Regions from separate parts of the Mus musculus genome. Here all the other regions are reported to be linked to region 3. The links are microRNA targets in miRTarBase. Many come from high-throughput screens and were not tested one by one. Region 3 holds a microRNA gene; each other region holds the end of a gene's coding sequence.

Evidence for each region. Region 3 holds the annotated microRNA mmu-miR-139-5p (UCUACAGUGCACGUGUCUCCAG, at 1,984-2,005, shown strand). A microRNA usually pairs through its seed, bases 2 to 8, with sites in the 3' UTR of a target mRNA and lowers its output. Matches are read on the target gene's strand: a 7mer-m8 pairs with bases 2 to 8, a 7mer-A1 pairs with bases 2 to 7 and ends in A, and an 8mer does both.
Region 1: the mRNA of Sema3e is a reported target of mmu-miR-139-5p. Seed matches in the 3' UTR shown: 8mer at 1,402-1,409, 7mer-m8 at 1,327-1,333 and 7mer-A1 at 1,123-1,129.
Region 2: miRTarBase lists Acvr1c as a target of mmu-miR-139-5p. The part of its 3' UTR that is shown has no 7-base or 8-base seed match.
Region 4: miRTarBase lists Rchy1 as a target of mmu-miR-139-5p. Seed matches in the 3' UTR shown: 7mer-A1 at 1,153-1,159.
Region 5: the mRNA of Mbd4 is a reported target of mmu-miR-139-5p. Seed matches in the 3' UTR shown: 7mer-A1 at 1,471-1,477.
Region 6: miRTarBase lists Gcnt3 as a target of mmu-miR-139-5p. Seed matches in the 3' UTR shown: 7mer-A1 at 1,414-1,420.
Region 7: the mRNA of Sirpa is a reported target of mmu-miR-139-5p. Seed matches in the 3' UTR shown: 7mer-A1 at 2,606-2,612.

Annotation. Positions count from the first base shown.
Region 1 is chr5:14,252,390-14,255,743 of GRCm38, reverse strand. It overlaps Sema3e (sema domain, immunoglobulin domain (Ig), short basic domain, secreted, (semaphorin) 3E), which reads right to left. Exons shown (of 17, transcript NM_011348.2): 17 at 1-3,354. The coding sequence ends at 2,954. Among named protein-coding and RNA genes, the nearest start is that of Sema3e, 230 kb to the right of the region's middle.
Region 2 is chr2:58,272,499-58,275,836 of GRCm38, forward strand. Acvr1c (activin A receptor, type IC) reads right to left here. Exons shown (of 9, transcript NM_001111030.1): 9 at 1-2,545. The coding sequence ends at 2,420. Among named protein-coding and RNA genes, the nearest start is that of Gm13544, 2.6 kb to the right of the region's middle.
Region 3 is chr7:101,473,399-101,476,398 of GRCm38, forward strand. Mir139 (microRNA 139) reads left to right here and starts at 1,978; the gene lies at 1,978-2,045. The region is part of intron 1 of Pde2a (phosphodiesterase 2A, cGMP-stimulated); the gene reads left to right.
Region 4 is chr5:91,946,967-91,950,320 of GRCm38, reverse strand. It overlaps Rchy1 (ring finger and CHY zinc finger domain containing 1), which reads left to right. Exons shown (of 9, transcript NM_026557.4): 9 at 457-1,479. The coding sequence ends at 585. Among named protein-coding and RNA genes, the nearest start is that of Rchy1, 14 kb to the left of the region's middle.
Region 5 is chr6:115,839,997-115,842,996 of GRCm38, reverse strand. Mbd4 (methyl-CpG binding domain protein 4) reads left to right here. Exons shown (of 8, transcript NM_010774.2): 8 at 435-2,300. The coding sequence ends at 512. Among named protein-coding and RNA genes, the nearest start is that of Efcab12, 3.1 kb to the right of the region's middle.
Region 6 is chr9:70,031,169-70,034,469 of GRCm38, forward strand. Gcnt3 (glucosaminyl (N-acetyl) transferase 3, mucin type) reads right to left here. Exons shown (of 3, transcript NM_028087.2): 3 at 328-3,301. The coding sequence ends at 2,803. Among named protein-coding and RNA genes, the nearest start is that of Gcnt3, 5.3 kb to the right of the region's middle.
Region 7 is chr2:129,629,517-129,632,870 of GRCm38, forward strand. Sirpa (signal-regulatory protein alpha) reads left to right here. Exons shown (of 9, transcript NM_001355158.1): 9 at 411-2,712. The coding sequence ends at 668. Among named protein-coding and RNA genes, the nearest start is that of Sirpa, 38 kb to the left of the region's middle.

The sequences.
Region 1 (3,354 bases), not on the chromosome of region 3:
CCTGGTTCTGTAGCGAGGCAGTTTGTGTTATGTTGAGGGAGAGGCTACTTGTTTTAGATGATACCATGAGACCTGGAGAAGCAGGAAACCAGTTATACAGAAGGGCCTCTTTGGAACAATAATGGGAGGCTAGGTTCTTGGGTGTGCTATGTATTTTGGGGATATATTTTGTTTGCCAAGGTCATGTCTGGACATCTCAAGGTGAGCTCCTACTTTTATAGAGTCCTACAGATACCTGAGTTTATGGTGGAATCATCATGGCTTTCTTCAGAAGAATTCTTTTCAAAGGAGAGTCTTGAATTTTAACCCCACAGGCCCAACAAAAGACTGGTGATGCTTATGTAGCAGGGTTCAGATTTTCAAAACACTTTTGTTTCTGTAGATTTGTGTTCTGTTGGCATGAACTCTGAAAGGGCTTAGTGATGCACCTTATACTTCTTGGAGATCTACATGCAAGAATGGTCAGAGGAAAGAGGGACAGAGACAGTGGTACATCAGTTATACCCTGGGAACCTGTGCTCGCTCTCTCTCTCTCCCTCTCTCTCTCTTTCTCTCTCACTCCCAGTCTGTCTGTCTCTCTGGCTGCCTGTCTATGTCTGTTCCCAGTTTTCTTACCAGAAATGGGTGTACAGGAGGATGTATAATACATGACAATATGTATATATAAATACATATTTATATATAATTTACTGCTCTCCCTAGAGTTGTATCCAAGCCCTTGAAATTTTATCATGTTTATTTAAATCAGTATATTTTAGGTTACTTTTTGATTAATGTCTGATTTTTAATTCAATGGTCTTTATTTGCATTTACTGTTCAAGTTGTAAAAAAAATATTCTTTGAATTCTACTTAGCTCACAACAAGATCATTTCCTCTTTAGCTGCCTGTCAGAGAGTTAAGGTTAAAATGTACTCATAGATGTCTGATTTCCTTTTTTTTTTTAACTTTAATTTGTTTTTATTTTATGTTATTTGTTAAGATAAAACTCTCCCCTTACCTGTAATTTGCTAAGTGGAAGGGCCATTTGAAAACCTCTCCTGCCAGGCGTGGTGGCACACACCTTTAGTCCCAACACTTGGGAGGCAGAGGCAGGTGAATTTCTGAGTTCGAGGCCAGCCTGGTCTACAGAGTGAATTCCAGGACAGCTAGGACTATACAGAGAAACCCTGTCTCAAAAAAACAAAAACAAAACAACAACAAAAAAAACTTCTCCATAGATTTTTCTGCTCTCTTGTAATATTGCAGACATATCCTTTCCTTAGGAACTAGTGATGTGGTTTTGGTTTTAATTCCCCAATTTTCCCTCCCCCCTTTGTGTTCATAAACTACAGTATTTTAAAAGTTTTGAATACTCCCTTTTGCCAACTACTATTGCTGGAGAACAATGGCACACAGTGGATTCTACAGTCAATAACGTGTGGACTTTCAGAGGATGTCAACATTCTCTTTATTCATACTAGTTATATGTTTTAGAAATTCTGGACTTTAAAATTTCCAAAATTTTAAAATTTCAAAATTGTGGAATATTTATGTAGTCACTAATTTTAGACAGAAAAAGAAATCCATTAGAAGTTCTCAACACTTTATATTCTTAATTATATAGCATACTGAGATAGCTGACATAATAGTTAAATTTAAGTCTGAATACGTATTCATAATTGTTCTTATTACAATCCACTTGCGTTACTCTTACCGAACTGAAAAGCCTCATAAAAATCATATTTTAGAACGGAAGCTGCTAACTCTTTAAAATACAGAGAAGAAAAATCTCAAGAAATAAACATTCTGAAAAATATAAATTTTGATTATATTCATAAGACAAAGATAATGATTCTCTAAAGATGTCAGTAGTAAAACGAATCCAAGAAGTAAATATAAAATAGGAAGATTTCATTTCTGAGAAAGAATGCTTTGATAATTTCTTTGCGGGTAAAGCACACTTTCAGAGTGTCTTGTCTCAGGGTAGGACTGGAAAGGTACTTTCTTCTATTTCAAAGCTCAAATGCAGTTAACATCTTCGTTGTGTTGTGAAGTAATGAATTAACCAGAAGCATGCTATTTCCATATTAAATTATTATATAAAATTATTTTTTAATTGAGTCTTCTGAATAGTGAACTAGATGTATCTACTACATTTTGTTTTCAAGTCATTGCAGGAAAATTATGGAAACAGCATTGAGAGATGCAATGCCTTCTTGTACCACAAGAGGGAAGCACAGACCTTTTTAACAGAATTCTACTTTCATGGTTTGAAACTATTTAAAAATATCTTTCTGAGAGGCTATCTTCCATCCTTCCACACTGAAGTGAAATTTAAAAGATATGTCTTGTTTATAAAACAGAAATATTCTTAATATAGTTTAGTGAGTGTTTCATGAAGAGAACAAGCCTCAGAATGGATGGGTTGCAGATTTCTTGTACAGTTTATAGCAACCACAACACAGCTACATACAACTTATGGCTTAAAAAAAAAAATCAACAACTGACCAGAAAGCTCACACGATAATTCTACAATATCTGATATTCTGTATATTTTACCTTATGGCTGCAAAGAGGAAAAGAAAAAAGAAAAAACTCCAGAAAGAGTTTTACATTTTTCTTGATTATGAAAACCTATAACTTTTTCTTTAATATTATAATTATAATACATATCCCAATGGCAAAATAATTTCCCTGAAAAGCAAGCTCAAAATTACAGCCCGATCATATGTTGATAAATACGTGAAGCCTTTTAAAGCAATACACTCGTTTAAGTACTAGTACTGTGAGAGAGATGTTTGTACAGTCAGATGAATATGCAGAATAACTTAAAACACCTTCCCAGCCTCTCAGTACTACAGAAAGTTCTTTGAAGTAATGGAAAGAGACTGCATGCTTTCAGTCTTTTTTTTTTCCCCCCCTTTAAAAAAATGTTTCCATCCTAGGTTCCTCAGCCGCCGGCAGAGGGCGCCCTCAGGAGAGCAGCGTGTGCCTGGGCAGGCGGAAGTGCTCAGCTTTAGAGCGAAGCCTCTTTTCCTGGGGGTTGGCATACTTCCACTTGGAGGGAGACATTTTAAGCTTTTTCCTCTTCTTATCTGTACACCACACCTTTTCGCAGTATTCTTCCACTCTCTGGAAGTTGCTGTAGCCAATCAGCTGCAAGAATTCCTTGTACCACGGTTTTGTCCCCTGAGACATACCGCTTAAGGGAGGGCAGGGCATCTTGTGATGTCTTTCCTCTTCATGGTCCTTATGAAACATGCCCTCCACTTTATGCTCTTCGACCACCTCCAAGGTGATTTTACGCACAGTATGGACAAAATTGTGTTCTACTGTCTGGCAAAAATAGGTCCCTGCATCTGACTTGCGTACTC
Region 2 (3,338 bases), not on the chromosome of region 3:
TGTTCCCTGACTACTTCTGTGGCTCTGCTCTTTAAGATTATTCACTTAGGGATTACAGTTCAGCAACAGAATAATGAGCAAAAGTCTCAAAATGTACCAATGTGCAGATTTCTCCACTGTGAAATCTAAACCAAGAAAATATAAGTTATGTTTGTATATACCCTGAAATAAATTATAAAACATAATGACCAAAATAAAGATGTTACAACACCCTCTTTTAAAATCTAGAAAATATACTTCCCTAACAGTGGTGAATGGAACAGGATAGAGTAGGTTTTTTTCATTGGATATCTGGATACAATCATTGAAGTAAATAATTCCATTGCCGTCATGTAGAAACTGTGAAATAAGATAATAGACATAAGCCAGCTCTCCCTTCGCACGGTTCTTCTTAACATCCATTCACGTAGGCGCACCTTTTGATGCTGATGATATAATTAGGCTGTAATATCTAAATAAAGATCCCTTCTAAATGTGTTGCAAATTGGAAGTGATTTTAAGACCTATTCTAGAAGCCATTGTCACATAGAACTCAAAGGCATCCCACTGCATATTTTATCTGTCAATTTACTCGCTTCCCTCATACTCACATGTCTTTCCCCACTCCCAAATTAGACTTTAAAATCCCCGAGGGCAGGACCTATCTATCTTGTTATTCCCTCTTGTACCCAATATTGTGGCAAGTAAGTTATGGGGTGCCCTGTGCTTATAAATGGATGAGGACATGACTGAGAATGGAAGTACATGCAAACTCCACAGCTGTCAGCTTTTGTTTCTCTTATCTCCACTTAGTCAAATGAGATGGATCGAGTAGCATATCTCCATAGTGATATGTAGACATCAAGTTACCCTCTTATGGGATACATAACGTATTCTTCACAACATCATTTACCATGTTGGGCTTTAGAAGATGCTAGATAGTAAAACTTCACCTTACTCATAATAGAAAGGCTACAATCAAATATTTACCCTTAAAAATATCCATGGAATGTGTCTTTGCTGCTAGAACTATCAAAGAATAGAATATGTTAACATATCACTTTTCAAGACCTTGTTAGAGTGCACATCCATTCTAACAACTTCTAGGTAGATGAAAGTTCTAAGGAATGGGGTTCGGGAAACTGTTTCAGAACACTGAAAGACGTTGAGTTAAACCATCTTCACTAAAGCCTATAGGACATTTGAAAGAAATATCTGGTGTCCTGTTAAATATTCTGAACTTCAAAAATGGAGAATAGAGGTAGATCCTCCAAACCCTTCCATGCATGGTCCCTGTTAAAAGGCCAGGAATGCCTTGTAATCACTGATGTGATCTTCTGTTACCAGTAAGGGGTTACACTCCTTCGGGAGAGTTCTCTGAACTCTCCTCAAATTCTTTCCGTGTTTATCTTTCTGTCATTTTCTTTCCAACCATGAACCTCAAAAGCAATGACATCTTATGACATACATCTTTAGAAAATGGATGTTTATAATTGGTCAATATTTGGCAATGTTCAGAAAACATTTTTTTTCATTATCGAATGGGATAATGATGACATTTCTTTGATGAAATTCTAATAGATTGGTTCTGAAATTCTAGAAAATCTATTATGGTCTTACAAAATACTCAATGCATTCACTATGTGACTAAATTTAAAATATTATAACTGATGATTGATCTTCCCACTTGGGAAGAAACGCTCTATGGGAATTCAAGGGAGTATAATGGCCAGCAAACTTCACAGTGCTAGTTGTCACAGGGTTCGTAACCAGCTCTGGCAAGAGCTCTGTGACTCTGGGCCATTTCACAGTGTTTGAGACATATGGACCTCTGTTATGTATCAGGAGGAGTAATGGCTCAGGTGGTTTTCGAACTACTTAGGGACAGCTGTCGTAGTGATGCAGAGTGGCAAATAGGCAGAGAAAGCAAGTCCTGAGAACGTGGTGTCACTTTGTTACTCCACCTTTCCACTCTTTAGATGTTAAAATTCTGAGCAAAATTTACTTTTTAAGGACCCAGTTAATTTTTACAGTTCCATTTCACCATAATATACAGTAGTTCACATTTTAAATATGTCTTCATCTCATTTGTGGATGCTCTTGGTTCAAGTACAACAAAAATTTAATATTTTTTTTACCATTGTATGTAGCTTATCTTATACTCATAACATCTTCCTCCTTAAATAAAAAGAAAAAACGAGTCGTGTCCCCTTTAAACATAAAACTAAGGACAACATGGAAACTGGGAAAGTCAAGACCTGCCCATGCTTAACTTTAGCGTTATCTTTACATGCTGCCTTTGGGACACTTCAACACTGTAGTGAGTCATCCTTGAGGTAGAACTAAAATAAAACACAGCAGAAAAGAAGCAAAAACATTTACACAAAGCGGGAGACGGGAAGGAAAGCTGTGAGCACTCTTCCTTTGCCTGTACGCAGAGCTAAGCTTTACAGTCTTCCTTGACACACAGCTGGGAGATGGTCTTCTTCACGCGCAGGGCTGTCAGGCGTGCTGCCCCGTTGGCGTACCAGCACTCACGCATTATTCTTCCCATGACCCGCAGCGCCTTCAGGAGAGAGAGAGACAGCAAAGGTTTGAGGTGTGCAGAACAGAGGATAAAAGAAGTGAAGTCAGAGATCAGGGGATGATCGAGGAAACTGGGCCAAACTTCTGTAAAAATCCTGTTATAAAGACACAAACGTTAACCTTGCAAAGACTAGCTGAAACTTCTGGGATGCGATGATGGCTATTTTTGAACTCTGCTAAGACAGGCGATGATAACTGAGTGCTGCGGTACAAGCTCATAGTTCCAGTACTGGGGAGGCGGAGGCAAAAGCAGCAGGAATTCAAGGTCAGGCCAATTCCATGAATCCCTGTCTCAAATAGAACAACTAAAAGGAGTCATGAGCTGTGGAAGGCTGTGGAAACGGTATCAATTCCCAGTCATATTTAATCAGATGCGCACACGCGTGAAAAGAAAGTCATCAGACTGGCAACTAAGATTTATACTTTCACCATTCATATTGTGTGTGGCGAACGATGGTCTGAGGGTAAATAGAAAAACTCAGTATAAACGAACTGTCAAAGAAAAAAAAAAAAAAAAAAGACATCCACTTAGGCGAGAAGTCAACGTAAAAGCAAGAAACATGAGAGACCCGGGGAGTCGCTGAAGATGGGCACCCCAGTAGCATATGCTCAACTACTAATGTAGAACCTCGGAGATGAGGGACCACATGTGAAAGACAGGAAAGTCAACACAAAGCAGAGAAGAAGTTGCAGATGGGAAAGGGAGGCCCTAGATTTAAGCAGGAAGCTTGAACTAGTGAGATGGCTCAGCAGGTAAAGGCATCTTTCCACTG
Region 3 (3,000 bases):
TCCCTGGGGAGGTACTGGGAGGGCTGGGGACACTCAGGACCAACCACCAGGCAGGTACCATGGGACACTTAGTTCTCTGCCCAGCACCCCTGGTCAGCCCTCCCTTCCTGCCCTTCTGTAAGCCATACATCGCCCTGTGTCAAGTCAGTGCCATTTAGCATTTATTATCTATTGTGGGCACAGGAGGGAAGGGGACAATGGAAGAGCGGGAGACAAGAGGCTCCACCCAGGCCTAGAGAGAGACACCCAGTCCCATTCCAACATTGGAGAGATGACAAGTCTATCCCTTGGCCAAAGCAGGACTTGAGAAGTCCAAAGCCACAGGAGAGAGGGCCTCGCCCCATGCCTTTAGGGGAGAACCTGGCTATTTTTTTTTTTTTTTGTCTCCTCTGACCTTCCATACACCCCATACCAAACTGGGCATCCAATGTCATGACACCTGAGGTCTAAAGACGTTGGTCTCATAGGAATTCCCAGGAGGACTGGGGTGGAGACAGGTGTTCCCCATGTAGATGACGTCCTTGAATAAGAGGTGCTGCTCACCTGCTCTTCCTGGGACCCTAGGCTTTTCCCACTTGGAGATGATCCTGAAGAGCAGAAGGTCTCCTGGCTTGCCAGATACCTTGAAAATGCTGTCAAAAGTTCTCAGGGAAAAGCATCCTCTCATTCCGTGGGCTGTTTGTCTACGTCTCTCATCACGCCAGACTTGGGATACAGAGACCGCCATTGTCTCCCCACCTGGGACCTCCAGGAACTCCACTTCTCTGCTCAGGAGGTCGCTGGCCTCCACCATTTCTGGGCTCTCATTGGAGACTAGATGATGCTAAGAGCAGAAGAGCTATGGGACAATCAGGATGCTGTCCTTTCCCCCAAAAGCTCCTGGCCTGATGGGGGAGCCAGAGAGGGCAGTGTGGCAAGGTGATGACACACAGCACCGGGAAGGAGCATCCATCAAGTTGTGAGGGTCCGAGTGAGCAGACCATCACTGGCTCTCTCACCCACCCACTCTTGTCTGACCATATCTTTTCCTTTGGCATACTTCCCTTCCTGACACTGGTCCAGCTAGTCACTCGACATTCCTTTCTCCTGAGTGGACCATTATGTCTGACTTGCAGAGGCTTCTAGGCTTGCTGGGTCAAGCTCTGGTCCTATCTCCAAGGCCACATGAGAGGTGGGGTCGTAGACATTCAGGCTCATAGAAACCGGAGCAGGAGGCCAGCCAGTTCACCGAGACCCTTTCTCGGGGTATTGATTCCCAGAGTCTCTTCTTTCTTGTACACCCTGGGGAACAGTGTACCCAAGCTTCCTTGATGCCAAAACATCTCCCCAGACACAGCTCTGAGTCACAGATACTCACCACAGTCCCCAGTGACTGTCCCACTGTATTCAATTCAACTCTCATGGTCACAGAGGCAGGAAGGTTAGAGACCACAGGAAACCAAGATGACGGGAATTGTGAGGAGACTATGGTGACATGTATGGGAGCTGGGCCTTACTGGTTAGAAACCTGAGGGCTATGGGGACAGAGTGGTCCTACTGTGTGGAGGAGGCAACTGAAGATGGGTAGGGTGAGGAGAAGTCAAAGTCTGACCCAACTCAACTCATCTTAAAGCTTCCAGGCCAGGGCCATCACCTCCTCCCGATACTGGGCTCTTGTCTCCCTCCTCTTTCCATTTCCCTAATCTTTCCCTTCTAGACTGGAGAGTAGACTGTCAGTCTGAGAGGACTAACAACCCCTGCCTTCCCACCTGGCTGCTTCTCCTCCTTCCCACTCTCTATCACCACACTTGGCCCTGGATGGCTTTAAAGGGGTCAGTACAGTGGGAGTGCCTGGGGTAGAAGTTCAGCCTGGTTGGGGAGGAGTGGGAGGTCCAGGGGGGGACCAGCTATGGTAAGGGATGAGAGAAGCCAACAGTTGTCCCAAGGGTCCCCCTCAGGGAGTGGAGGTTCCCCTGGGAGGCGCCAGGACAGGCGCAGGTGTATTCTACAGTGCACGTGTCTCCAGTGTGGCTCGGAGGCTGGAGACGCGGCCCTGTTGGAGTAACAACTGAAGCCAGAGTCTTCGAAGGGTGGTGGGCTAAGGGGGAAGAGGGCATGGTGGGCAAAAGAAAGGGGGTGGGGGAGAGAGAAAAGGAGGACAAGGGGGCCCCTTCCTGTAGTACTTGGCTCTTGAGCTGCAGGTGGCTCCTTCCACGTGCCCCTGTGTCACCAACTCAACGATGGCCACAGCTCCTTTTCTCCTTTCTCACCCTTATGCCTCCTCTCCTTGGGGATCTTTCTTGTGGAGTCTCTTCATGTGGGGGTAGCATCCAGCTGTCCCCATGGCTACCCTCACTGGAGAAAGGATCTACCTTCCCTACATCCCGGTCTTTACACCCCTGTGCCTCTAAAGTGGGGTGAGTGAAAGGCACGTCTCAGGCCAGCAGCAGCTAGAAATTGGGGAGTTGGTAGTGCAAATTCATCAACCTCTTCCCAGACCAGCTGATGCAGAAATTCTGGGGTGGGGACAGCACTGTGTATTTCAACAGTCCTCCAGGTGACTCTGGGCCATGCCGTACTTTGGAAACCACTGAGGGACATCTGCAACCACAATCAGTACCTGAGAAAGGTACCTTCCCTTCCCCATAGCCAGAGTCACTCAGGGCTTATGAGGTGGCTCACTTGGCATCTGGGTTGCCCAACATCACCTAGTCTCTTTCCTTTCCTTTTGCTTCTGGCCCAGCTCAGCCTTGCTACTGGGAAGTCGTGGATGCAAGTGTTAGCACACACAAGCAGCTCTTGTAATATTTTCAGGTGACAGGTCTGTTAGAAACAGCTCTTTGGGCAGGTGGCAGGCGTGGGCGGTGGGGAGGGAAAGGAGCCACCTTCTCCTGCTTCCTCTGTTTTCTGCCTTGTGTCTGGGCAGCTGTGAAGAGCCAGAGAGGAAAACTGGGCTTCTGGACTTGGGCTTGGGCTAGGGACTTTCCTATTCTGAGTTTCAAGGAGTCCTCTTAAATAGTT
Region 4 (3,354 bases), not on the chromosome of region 3:
TTTGAATTCATTGCTGAGGCATAATAAGCCTAAAAATTAAGCAAAATATTCCAATTTGTAGAAATTTCAGTTTTATTAATTAAGGTAAATTCTGAGTGCCAGTGAAAATAATGAAATCATCGTGTGTGTTATTTTGTTTTTTAAATATTAAGTGTTTGCCTAATGATAAGTATAAGATCTGAATATATCCATGTTAATTTGCTTGCTTGTATTATGTATACTTTTAGGAGCTATTTTAAGTTGAGTGTTCTGAGCTCAGATTCACATTTTCATTTTATGAATTCAAAGCCATCCTAATAACCTTTAAAATACTCACTGGAGAAAAGACATTTTCACTTCAAAAATGCTTAGACATACGTGTATTTTCACATCTTTCATATGACTTTCAAGTGATTGTTAATCAGGCAGTGTCACTTGTAGTTACAAGGCTTAAAACTTTTCCTCTTCATTTTTCAGATTCTCTGCAATGACTGTAATGGACGATCCACAGTCCAGTTCCATATCTTAGGCATGAAATGTAAGCTTTGTGACTCCTACAATACTGCCCAAGCTGGAGGCCGTAGAGTGCCAGTGGATCAGCAGTGAGAAGCCTGTCCTTGGCTAGAGAACAGCTCTGTGATGGAGATGAAGCTCTGTAAAAGATCCCAGTGTTCGTTCATCTGCATCAGAGATGTTTCATACCACTGTCACAACAGGGGGTCACAGCGTGAACACCTGAGGATTCAAGATCTCTGGATGGAAATGTAATAGAGCTTACTGGGTGATTGTAATAGCGATTACTGGGTGAAGCCTCTGAGCGTGTGTAGATTGGAAATTCCTTTAGTGTCAAGTTTTGAAGCCAATGATGTTAGTCCCAGATATAGTCACATTCATCGAAATATTTTATATTTTCATGGAACTTTAAGTGATACTATGCACGCAGAGTTAATTTCTTGTTCTTGATAGAACTACATTCAATTTTAACTAGTCTTTGATTTTAAGGGCTGTACTGTGATTTTTAAGTTCTTATTAAAATCTAATTACGTGTGCTTCTTAATTTTCTTTTCTTTTCTCTCTCTCTCTCTCTCTCTCTCTCTCTCTCTCTCTCTCTCTCTCTTTTGGTTCTTCCAGACAGGGTCTCTCTGTGTAGCCCTGGCTGACCTGGAGCTCACTCTGTAGACCAGGCTGGCCTCGAACTCAGAAATCTGCCTGCCTCTGCCTCTCAAGTGCTAGGATTAAAGGCATGTGCCACCACGCCCGGCTGCTTTTTAATTTTCTAAGACAGTCCTTTGAATACTATAATACAATTTTATGTAATAAATTACTAATGAAATTGTACTGAAATACTGTTTTACAGACTTTTTTTCCCTCTAGGTTGTTAATTTTTGGCTCTTGTGACAACATAAGCCATCATATATAAAAGACATTTTCCCTTTGAGATGCTTTTATGGATGAATGATTTGGGAAAGTATAAAGTAATGACGCTCTTCAGTGCTCAAGTCCACTGTTACGGTACAAGTCCTTCCGTCTGCCAGAATTACTTCCCCACAGAGTAATTAATTCAGCTGGTATTTTAGTAAGCAGCTGTAAGCCAGGTGTGGTTCTAGATGCTTTAAAATGACAATGAAAAGTTCCTTGTAGTGGTACATTCTGCCATTCCTCATATTTGGTCAACATATTCTGTCTTATTAATGCAAGCAGTATGTGTCGTCAGTGTAGACATGGATTATTTTCTAAGTTCTCAGGAGATAAATAGGATGAAGTAGTCCTGGAAAGGGCTCTCAGTTTACACTTCTCTGTGCTTACCTAGAAGAACTAAGTATTCCTCGAAGTTAATGAATATGCCGAGCATAGATGGGTCATCTGTATCAACCCCTATTCCCCAGGCTCAGGGAACAACATGGTGGGGGTGGATGGGAAGGACATGAGAGCTGGAAGATGAAAGAGGACGGCTGGGAAACACTGGGTTTTGACATAACAAGGTTGTCGCATGTGAACTTAGAGCAGCCACGGTTGCCTGCTGAGACCTTTATGAGATCAAGCCTGTGAAAAATCCTGCAAGGATAAAGTGAGCCCTGAGCCCTGCTTGTAGCTGAAGAGCAGATAATGCTCCCGTGAAGGGAGAAGCATTGCGTTTCTTAGGGGCTGTGGGTTGCGGGTGGGTTGTCCACACCCCAGTGGATGGCTGCACCTGTGGGTACATGGAAAGCACTAGTTGGACTCACTGGGTTATTAATTAAAAAAAGAAAGGGTCATCTGGAAAGGTGGGTGAGTGGTTCAGAGCACTTGCTTTTCTTTCAAAGGACATGAGCTTGGTCCACAGGACCCAGGTCAGAATTTCAGGGTTTCCAACACATACTGACAGCCAAGTATACACATAAATTTAAAAAAAAAAAAAAAAAAAAAAGGCTAGGCATGGTGTTCTGTATTCTTAATCCTAGCACTTGGGAGGTCTAAGTTCAAGGCCATCCTGGGCTACATAGAAAGACCCTCTGTAAGAGAAAAAGAAATTAGTGAGATGTGATGTGTTTGGAGGTCTTGATGGGAACTGGAGGGAAGTAGTGGGAGTGGATATGACCTAAGTACATGTATGAATTTCTGATGAAGTCTTTAGGGCTTTTTTTTTTTAAATATGATGCTTGAATACTGTGCCAGCTGCTTTCATGTCAAGTCATCAGAGAATGGGGAGTCTCAGTTGAGAGAATGCTTCTGTTAAGACTGGGCTGCAGTCCTATAAAGGATTTTCTTAATTAGTGATCAACTGGAGGGCACAGTCCATAGTGGCTGATGCCATCCCTGGGCTGGTGGTCAGGGTTCTATAAGAAAGCAGGCTGAGCAAGCCACAGGGAGCAAGCCAGTAAGCAGCACCCCTCTGTGTCTTCTGAGTCAGCGCCTGCCTCCAGATCCCTGTCGCGCTTCAGTTACTGACCTGGCTTCTTCAGGGATTTGGAAGTGAAAGCCAACTACTTACCCTTTTCTTTCCCAAGTTGCTTTGGTCATGGTGTTTCAGCACAGCAATAGTAACCCTAATTAGAACAGAAATCTTATTCTTTCTTTGCTGTTGCTAAATTCTCTGACATCCTGTTGGGGTGGGAGGAAGTGGTGAGACCAGCATCCTTTTGTTCCTTAGAGGAAGGACTTTAACCTTCTTACTGTAAAATATTATGGGGCTTTTTTTAATTAAGTGTGGTATATTTATTATCTGTGCTCATCAGTAGCATTGGTTTGTAGTTTTTCTTTTGGTCTTGCCTCGCATCGCAATGTATTACCGTAATGCTGACGTGTAAAGTGGGTTAATAAGTAGTGGGGTTGCTCTTGTGCACTGTGGATTCAGAGACTGAGTTCTGTGCTCCAAGATCAGGTTGCAGTCTGGAC
Region 5 (3,000 bases), not on the chromosome of region 3:
AATGTGGCATCTGGGTCCTATTAAAACTACCCATTCCTTTGTTCCTGTCCCAACACTGGTACATTTTGATGGCAGTGTGACAGCTGGAGGGTAGCTTGGCACACTGCCTCCTCACAGTATGGCCCTGCGTTAAGTCAGTGATGTCTAGAGAAACCCAGACTGAAGGGCCACAGTTCTACCCCTTCACCACCAGAGCCATTGGTTAGCTTCACAGGGTCTCTAATCATCGCTGCCTTCTGCTCCAGGTCTGGGTTAGTTCTGAACTGGAGAGCACTTTGTAATCCATGTAGGATATCTGTTGTATAAGGTATAACTATATACAGTCTTGGATGCTGTGGGGTTCCATGTCCCGTTTATCTCAGGTATATTATCATGATGAACCCCCTCACTAAACCTTTAAACATGTCTATGGCTGAATGTTGCATTTCTTCCAGGTGCACCCTGAAGACCACAAGTTAAATAAATACCATGACTGGCTTTGGGAGAATCATGAAAAATTAAGTCTATCTTGAAGCTGCCTGTTTGAAGTTTCCCATGCGTCGCCTTGTGCTTCGGTTTCTAAGGGCCCTGTGGTGTGCAGTGAGCTCCCTTCCCGGCACGTGGATTTTTTTTTTCAGTTTGTTAGAAGCCAGTGTATGTCTTAAGCCTCTGCCAAAAAAAAAAAAAAATTGTTAGATAATGATCCTAAAAGTGTTCAGTTTAGGTTTTCCAATGATGAAATTCAACACGCCAATGCTCAAATCCAGTTACCAGCACTCCTGCTAAAGAAAGCCTAAACATGTATTCTCCTTCTGTATAAAGTGATATTGTCATGTGTGGAAAGCCTGCCATTCTTAATGGGTATTCCAGTGTTATAGCTTAAATAGTGAGGCATTTACTTTAGAAAGATATCACTAACTAAAAACCGAATTGACCTTACATGGTGGCACACCCCTGTAATCCCAGCACTCAGGAGGCTGAGGAAGAAGGATGGAAAGTTGAGGGCCTGCCTCTTCTGTGTAGAGAGAGACTCTGCCTCAAGCACAAACAGGGCAGGGCCAGCAAGTGGCCCAGTAAATGAAGTCACTTGCTGCCAGGCATGATGATCTGAATTCCATCCCTGGAACACACTCCTGAAGGTTGGCCTCTTACCTTCACTTGAGCTCATACATAACATGTTACAAAATACATAAAATTTTCAGAAATGGTCTGCAGAGAGATGGTTCAGTAGTTTAATATGCTTGCTGCTTTTATAGAGGTTACTTTTTAGCACCCACATCAGGCAGCTCACAACTGCTTATAACAGCTCCTGGGGATCTGTCACCTTCTTTTGGCTTCATTGGGTACCTTAGCACATGTGGCATATATAGATATAAAGATATACATAAACATAAAAAAAAAATTAAGTCCTAATTACTTAACACTTTTTTTTCTTTTTGGTTTTCCGAGACAGGGTTTCTCTGTGTAGCCCTGGCTGTCCTGGAACTCACTCTGTAGACCAGGCTGGCCTCAAACTCAGAAATCTGCCTGCCTCTGCCTCCCAAGTGCTGGGATTAAAGGCATGCGCCACCACTGCCTGGCTACTTAACACTATTTTAAAATGTAGTTTGAAAATTAAATTATATCTCCTCCTCAAGGCAATATTACTCAAAAATGCATAGTATTCCACCCCATTTTTCATTAATAAAATATATTTTTCATTAATAAAATATATTCACCCATGCCAGTCATCATGGTATACTACTATAATCCTAACACTTGGGAGTCTGGAGAGAATCATGATCAAGGCCAGCCTGGGCTATATGGTAAGACCCTATATCAAAAAAGAGCAAAAAAACAAACCAAAAGATCCACTAGTGGCACACACACAGACAATGAGCAGATGGGCCTTATAATGTATATGTGATGAAAATACATACACAGTACCTGGGATGCTGATGCAAGAGGACCTCTGAATTCAAGGCAGCCTGGCTTATGAGAGTGTGAAGGCAGCTTTGGTTACACAGCAAAACCCTGTACAAAAAATACAAACCAAGTTTGTTGGACTAAATAAGCTATGTCTGCAGAAGTGTCTGTCTGTCTTGTTTAATGGAATTCTTTTTTTTAAAGATTTATTTGTTTTATGTATATGAGTACACTGTAACTGTACAGATGGTTATGAGCCATAATGTGATTGTTGGGAATTGAACTCAGGACCTCTGCTTGCTTCTGGCCCTGCTCTGGCCCCGCTCGAGTATATGGAATTCTTAAGATCCTAATATACTTATGAAACCTATCACTTTGTATTAGGTAGTTAATAAAATATTTTTATTAAAAAGTAAGGTCCCTTTGGCATTGTGTTCTTGACCACTTGCATTGGCTCTGAGGAATTTTAGATTTGCCCTTAATATCCCTGTGCGAGTGTGGCTTATGGCTCCATTGCAACTCACCCTTTAACCCTGATCCTTTGTGAAACCTTCTCTCTCCCAATGTTTGGTGCCATTTCCATGGCAGGTGGTATACCATCATGGTTCTAGTTCCGACGATCAATTGTCATTCTAAGGTTTGGTTTGAAAATTAAATCGAATGAAGGCAAAGTAAACCAGCTGTCAGGAAGCTATTTGTCGTAGGATAGCGAGTGGGTATAGGCAGATGTGCTCTGTTGCAGGCTAATTGATTTTTCCTCTGGTGAACAGGTGGCAGCTGTGAGAGGGATGCTGGAGGTGGAGAGATCATTGGTCACAGAGTAGTCAGGTTCAGTTCCTAGCATGTCTATGGAGGGGATCTGTTGCCCTCCTCTGGGCACACAGGTCGTGTGTATACATGCATGTGAAATAAGTTCACATAAGTGTAAAGAGATGTGATGTGGCAGGAAAGCTGGCCATACCTCCCACTTCACAATAACCCTTAATATTTTCACAAACATCACAGGAACACACATAAGTGCAGAGCTCTGTGCTGGGGAGGGAAAAGGATGAGAAGGCTCTGTAGAGACCTCCCAGGAAGAGAACAGTGCTAACAGTATGGCAGAGAAGACAAAGT
Region 6 (3,301 bases), not on the chromosome of region 3:
TGGCGCTTTAATGAATAATGAATAATGTGAGTGTTGGAATTTTCACATTTTGATGACTATTGTGTTCCCAGTGTCAATAACGATGTGTGGGGTCAGCAAGGTGGCTGATCAGATCTTGCCACGAAGCCTGCCTCGTAACCTGAATTCAATCCTGGAGCAAACATAGTGGAAGGAGAGTGACTGTTCCCCAAAACAGTCCCCTGACTACCACCCAAGCCATCACACGTGTGTGTGTCCTGCCAGGCCTCCCTCCATGCACAAATGAATAAATGTAATTAAAAAAAATTAAGCACAATGTGTGGTAAGCACCAAGAACTCCGCTCACGTGTGTGGAATGAATTGTTTTATTAGTTGTCAGCACATCAAGACTGATGAACAATCATTTCTTATTCTACCTTTGCAATAAATTCCAAATGAGCGAGATACATAAGGATAGACCTTTGGTTTGGTCAGTGAAGGCGTTTTAAGGCAGACAAGATATTAGTCTCTCCATTTTTAAACAGTGTATCTGACCTCTTCATCTGAATTATATGCCCCACAGTTAACAACTGCTTTTTCTTTTCTTAGTAAACGTTCACTAAACCAAGAACAGATAGAATGAGCAGCAAAAAAATAAAATAAAGTACAGTTCAGTGATGGCCATGCATCAAAATAAGGAGGAAACTTAAGCCTTGGAAGGTGGGCCAAGTGTAACAGCTTGCTTTGTTTCCGGGACTTTTCCTTTCCAGAGAAGGGTTAATGAAACAGAGAAGCCTCAAAAGGGAAAGATGAACAGATGTGCTGGGTTGCCTATGTGACCTTGAATGTACACTAAACAAACCAGGCGAAGCGTGATCCTTCTGATTGGATGACCTCATGCTATTGAACAAACTACTTTCATCCACCCAACACATTTTCTAGAAAAAAAAATTTTTTTAATGGTTGGGAAAATTCCCAAAACCTAACAGAGCCACAACCCGATAGCTTTTCTATGGAAAGCTACTGCTCAGTTTATTACAAAAGCTTTGGGGAAAACTTGACCATGAAGAATCTGGCTTCTTTTCTCAGGATATATGTCTTTAAGGAGGTGTTTCTACACACATCCCACAGGCCAGCAGCCCCTCTTCTTTCCTCCTGAGGGAAGGGCCAGGAATAGTCACAGCTGCTGGCTGAAGGGTTCTGAAGACTTCTGATTTCATGGCACTGTCACCTCTGAGGTAAGGTTGCGGGCAAGGACTCAATATTGCTGTGTTGGGTAAGTTTGTGGTGACAATGCCCATTACCCACAGAAGCCAATCTTAAAAAAAAAAAAAAAAAAAAAAGGAAGTTGCTTACTTTGAAATAGAAATTCCACTAGGCATGGTGGTGCATCTCTTTAATCCCAGCACTGAGGAGGCAGAGGCAGGTGGATCTCTGAGTTGGAAGCCAGGCCTGTCTACAGAGTTCCAGGACAGCCAGAGCTATATGGGTGAAACCCTGCCCGGAAATCAAAAAGAAAAAAAAAAAAAAAAAGACATTCCCATCACACAGTAACTGTTAAAGGGACAAGGCTACAATAAAAGTTGACTGTAGAGAGAAAATCTTAACTGGATCAAGAATTGAAACGGAGAAACCTGTTAGCATTCTAACACATTGATGGGAGCCTCATTCAAATTACACAAGTTAATTCGTACATAACCCCCTCTTCGGGGACATAGACACAGGAAGCCAGCTAAACCATAGTCAAAGGTTCTGCTTTTAGCGCCCCTTGCTCCTTACAGACTGGAATGCATACAGGCCAAAAATTAGCTCTGGGTTTTCAGAGAAGAGGTGATTTCACTGGGGAGTGTGTGCCTGTAAATGTACATAGTTTAGCATTTGTGCATATGTATTTACACACCTTACTGTGTCCCCACAGGGAAATGGCACAATCTACAAAGTGGCAAACAGCGAGACTGATATTCACACAATGAAATAAAGAAGCTTTCATTCAAGAGGTTTAAACAGAATTCTCAGGCATCTTAGGTTAGCAAAACCGTTTCCTTTCACTCCCGGACCTAATGATTAACAGCGCCACCTCTACCCCCAACCAAACTAAGCTCCAGTAAGATTGGCTGCTGGGCACGGGATGCTGAGCTTTGGCCGTGAAGCTAAGCACATACTCAGCAAACCAGTCCAATCACTCTGTTCTTCCCCTCATGGAAAATTCAGAATCTACCAAGGAAAGCAAGACTAGGAAGGCTTTCAGTAACAGAGAATTAGCTCTGTGATTCGGTTTGCCTTCTACTCGGCTTGCTACGGAGACTTCTTCCCAGCCACCAGACACTAACTGTCCTCAGCACACGAGTAATGCCTCACATATTTTTCCTGCTTACATTATTTCTGGATTCACAGATGACACTGGAGGGGCAGGGCTTTGGTTTAGAAGCTCTTTATGTTAAATTAACAATATAAAAGAGGGGGGCTCTTTGCACTAAAGTTCCCCACCCAAGACCAACCCCCCAGAGGTATTTGAAACAAAGTCTCTGTAGAGAACCTGACAGGAAGTCTTCAGCCAAAATCCAGGGTCCCTGGTCACATGTCCCCTCCCTTATTATCCCAAGTAACAGTATTTCATGTTCTAGCTCTGCGAGGAAGCCAAAGAAGTTGGGGAGGGAGCTGGAGAATAGCCACCTTCACCAGCGACAGCTCACAAGGAGCAGAGGTCTACTTACCCGCTGTCCAATAGCAGCCCCCTCATCCTAAGGGACACATGGAGTCTAGAGCCCCAGCTATCTACCCCACACTGCCCCAGTAGGTCCTGGCATTTTCTTGCCACACAGGTAACAATAGTCTTACAGTGTCTCATAGTTCAGTCCCATAGATGGCTTTGTGACGTAAATATTCTTCTAAACACTGAAGAACATTATCATCCACCTTTGGGTCAAACTTGTTGGCCAAGAGGTGATGGTTCTGAAGTATCCAGTGCAGGTCCCCTGACCCATAAACACAGACAGCCCGCTGGTGGATTCCTGAGCAAGACGTGTAAGGTGCCCCGTTCTCAATGTCTCCCTCATGGTCGTACCACTTGGTTAGTCTCGCAATGGCTCTCATGTCTGACAGGTCAAATTTTCGATGCAAGGGATCTGATCCAGGCATCCACGAGGCACGCTGGAGGGTGGCCCAAAGGTGCTCATCGGGACTATAGGTGTCTTTTACCCACTCGATCAGTTGCCGGGCTTTTGAGTTACTGAACACGTGTTCAATGAAGTCTCGAGAAGCCACCATGTAGGCATTCCCAGTGAACATGGTTAGGTTATTAGGTGGCGGCGTCTTCCTCTTGCTGGTCATGTGCAATGTGTCT
Region 7 (3,354 bases), not on the chromosome of region 3:
GAGGACCAAGAAGTATCTTAGGGTAGAGCAGTGCTAGAGCAGAATTGTACATGGTTCACTGGGGTCTCTTATGTGGGAGAGGTGAGAGTGGGTGATCCAGGACAAGGAAAAGATATGGGAAGGGGGAGGGGATAGCTTCAGGTGGTTCCACCCAGAAAGAAGGAGGTGACATGAACCTGGAGGAAGCAAGCTGGGACTGGAAAGGGACATGTGATAACCACCCGAGTGTTTCAGAAGACCCTTTGGGCTCTGTGAGGAGGAAGGTGGATTGGAAGAAGAAAGGCTGGAAATGGGATACCATTGGCAGAGTGAAGGCTGAGCCCACTGGGAAAGAAGTGGGCCGATTTTGTTGCCAGTTGGTGGGTCAATAGGCTGGGGCTCCAGAATGACTTTCTCTCTGTGTCTTTTAGATCCAGGACACAAATGACATCAACGACATCACATACGCAGACCTGAATCTGCCCAAAGAGAAGAAGCCCGCACCCCGGGCCCCTGAGCCTAACAACCACACAGAATATGCAAGCATTGAGACAGGCAAAGTGCCTAGGCCAGAGGATACCCTCACCTATGCTGACCTGGACATGGTCCACCTCAGCCGGGCACAGCCAGCCCCCAAGCCTGAGCCATCTTTCTCAGAGTATGCTAGTGTCCAGGTCCAGAGGAAGTGAATGGGGCTGTGGTCTGTACTAGGCCCCATCCCCACAAGTTTTCTTGTCCTACATGGAGTGGCCATGACGAGGACATCCAGCCAGCCAATCCTGTCCCCAGAAGGCCAGGTGGCACGGGTCCTAGGACCAGGGGTAAGGGTGGCCTTTGTCTTCCCTCCGTGGCTCTTCAACACCTCTTGGGCACCCACGTCCCCTTCTTCCGGAGGCTGGGTGTTGCAGAACCAGAGGGCGAACTGGAGAAAGCTGCCTGGAATCCAAGAAGTGTTGTGCCTCGGCCCATCACTCGTGGGTCTGGATCCTGGTCTTGGCAACCCCAGGTTGCGTCCTTGATGTTCCAGAGCTTGGTCTTCTGTGTGGAGAAGAGCTCACCATCTCTACCCAACTTGAGCTTTGGGACCAGACTCCCTTTAGATCAAACCGCCCCATCTGTGGAAGAACTACACCAGAAGTCAGCAAGTTTTCAGCCAACAGTGCTGGCCTCCCCACCTCCCAGGCTGACTAGCCCTGGGGAGAAGGAACCCTCTCCTCCTAGACCAGCAGAGACTCCCTGGGCATGTTCAGTGTGGCCCCACCTCCCTTCCAGTCCCAGCTTGCTTCCTCCAGCTAGCACTAACTCAGCAGCATCGCTCTGTGGACGCCTGTAAATTATTGAGAAATGTGAACTGTGCAGTCTTAAAGCTAAGGTGTTAGAAAATTTGATTTATGCTGTTTAGTTGTTGTTGGGTTTCTTTTCTTTTTAATTTCTTTTTCTTTTTTGATTTTTTTTCTTTCCCTTAAAACAACAGCAGCAGCATCTTGGCTCTTTGTCATGTGTTGAATGGTTGGGTCTTGTGAAGTCTGAGGTCTAACAGTTTATTGTCCTGGAAGGATTTTCTTACAGCAGAAACAGATTTTTTTCAAATTCCCAGAATCCTGAGGACCAAGAAGGATCCCTCAGCTGCTACTTCCAGCACCCAGCGTCACTGGGACGAACCAGGCCCTGTTCTTACAAGGCCACATGGCTGGCCCTTTGCCTCCATGGCTACTGTGGTAAGTGCAGCCTTGTCTGACCCAATGCTGACCTAATGTTGGCCATTCCACATTGAGGGGACAAGGTCAGTGATGCCCCCCTTCACTCACAAGCACTTCAGAGGCATGCAGAGAGAAGGGACACTCGGCCAGCTCTCTGAGGTAATCAGTGCAAGGAGGAGTCCGTTTTTTGCCAGCAAACCTCAGCAGGATCACACTGGAACAGAACCTGGTCATACCTGTGACAACACAGCTGTGAGCCAGGGCAAACCACCCACTGTCACTGGCTCGAGAGTCTGGGCAGAGGCTCTGACCCTCCACCCTTTAAACTGGATGCCGGGGCCTGGCTGGGCCCAATGCCAAGTGGTTATGGCAACCCTGACTATCTGGTCTTAACATGTAGCTCAGGAAGTGGAGGCGCTAATGTCCCCAATCCCTGGGGATTCCTGATTCCAGCTATTCATGTAAGCAGAGCCAACCTGCCTATTTCTGTAGGTGCGACTGGGATGTTAGGAGCACAGCAAGGACCCAGCTCTGTAGGGCTGGTGACCTGATACTTCTCATAATGGCATCTAGAAGTTAGGCTGAGTTGGCCTCACTGGCCCAGCAAACCAGAACTTGTCTTTGTCCGGGCCATGTTCTTGGGCTGTCTTCTAATTCCAAAGGGTTGGTTGGTAAAGCTCCACCCCCTTCTCCTCTGCCTAAAGACATCACATGTGTATACACACACGGGTGTATAGATGAGTTAAAAGAATGTCCTCGCTGGCATCCTAATTTTGTCTTAAGTTTTTTTGGAGGGAGAAAGGAACAAGGCAAGGGAAGATGTGTAGCTTTGGCTTTAACCAGGCAGCCTGGGGGCTCCCAAGCCTATGGAACCCTGGTACAAAGAAGAGAACAGAAGCGCCCTGTGAGGAGTGGGATTTGTTTTTCTGTAGACCAGATGAGAAGGAAACAGGCCCTGTTTTGTACATAGTTGCAACTTAAAATTTTTGGCTTGCAAAATATTTTTGTAATAAAGATTTCTGGGTAACAATAATGCCTTGGGGGTGTTCCATTTTGTCTTTGAAGCTCTGTCCTTGGAGTCTGCCAGTTGCCTGTCCTCTGGGGCTGGGGGTGAGGATGAACTGTGCCAAGGCTTCAAAACATTCTGTGTAACTTGGTCTACGCTAGGTTTTACAGAAGTTCTGTTCCCTTGGCTCAGACAGAGTCATGGTTGCATCGGTTGTGCTGAAAATTCAGACAGACTTTCTCTACTACTTCAGTGTTGTGGGGGATTTGGACAGTTCACCCACCCGCTCGCTACCTCCGGGACCTTGGCTGTACAATAGGGTTTAATTGTGCCCCTCCCAAGGTTCCCTGGGGATTAAAGAAAGGATCACCCCGTGCTGCATGCAGGTCTGCATTGAGTGTTGAGCTGTGCCTCTCTACCTGCCCAATGGGGCTGATGACCATGGCATAGGCTTTCCATGGCTACAGTAAAGCACTGTGACCAAAAGTGAGTCGGGGAGGAAAGGGTTTATTTTGTTGACATTTACACAACATCACTACACAACATCACAGTTCATCATAGAAGGACAAGAACTAATGCTGAGGCCATAGAGGAGTTATCCTGTAGCTTGGTGTTCCTTTAACCAGACCCGGACACTCCCCACCCCAGAAATTCGTACTCCCCCTTTAG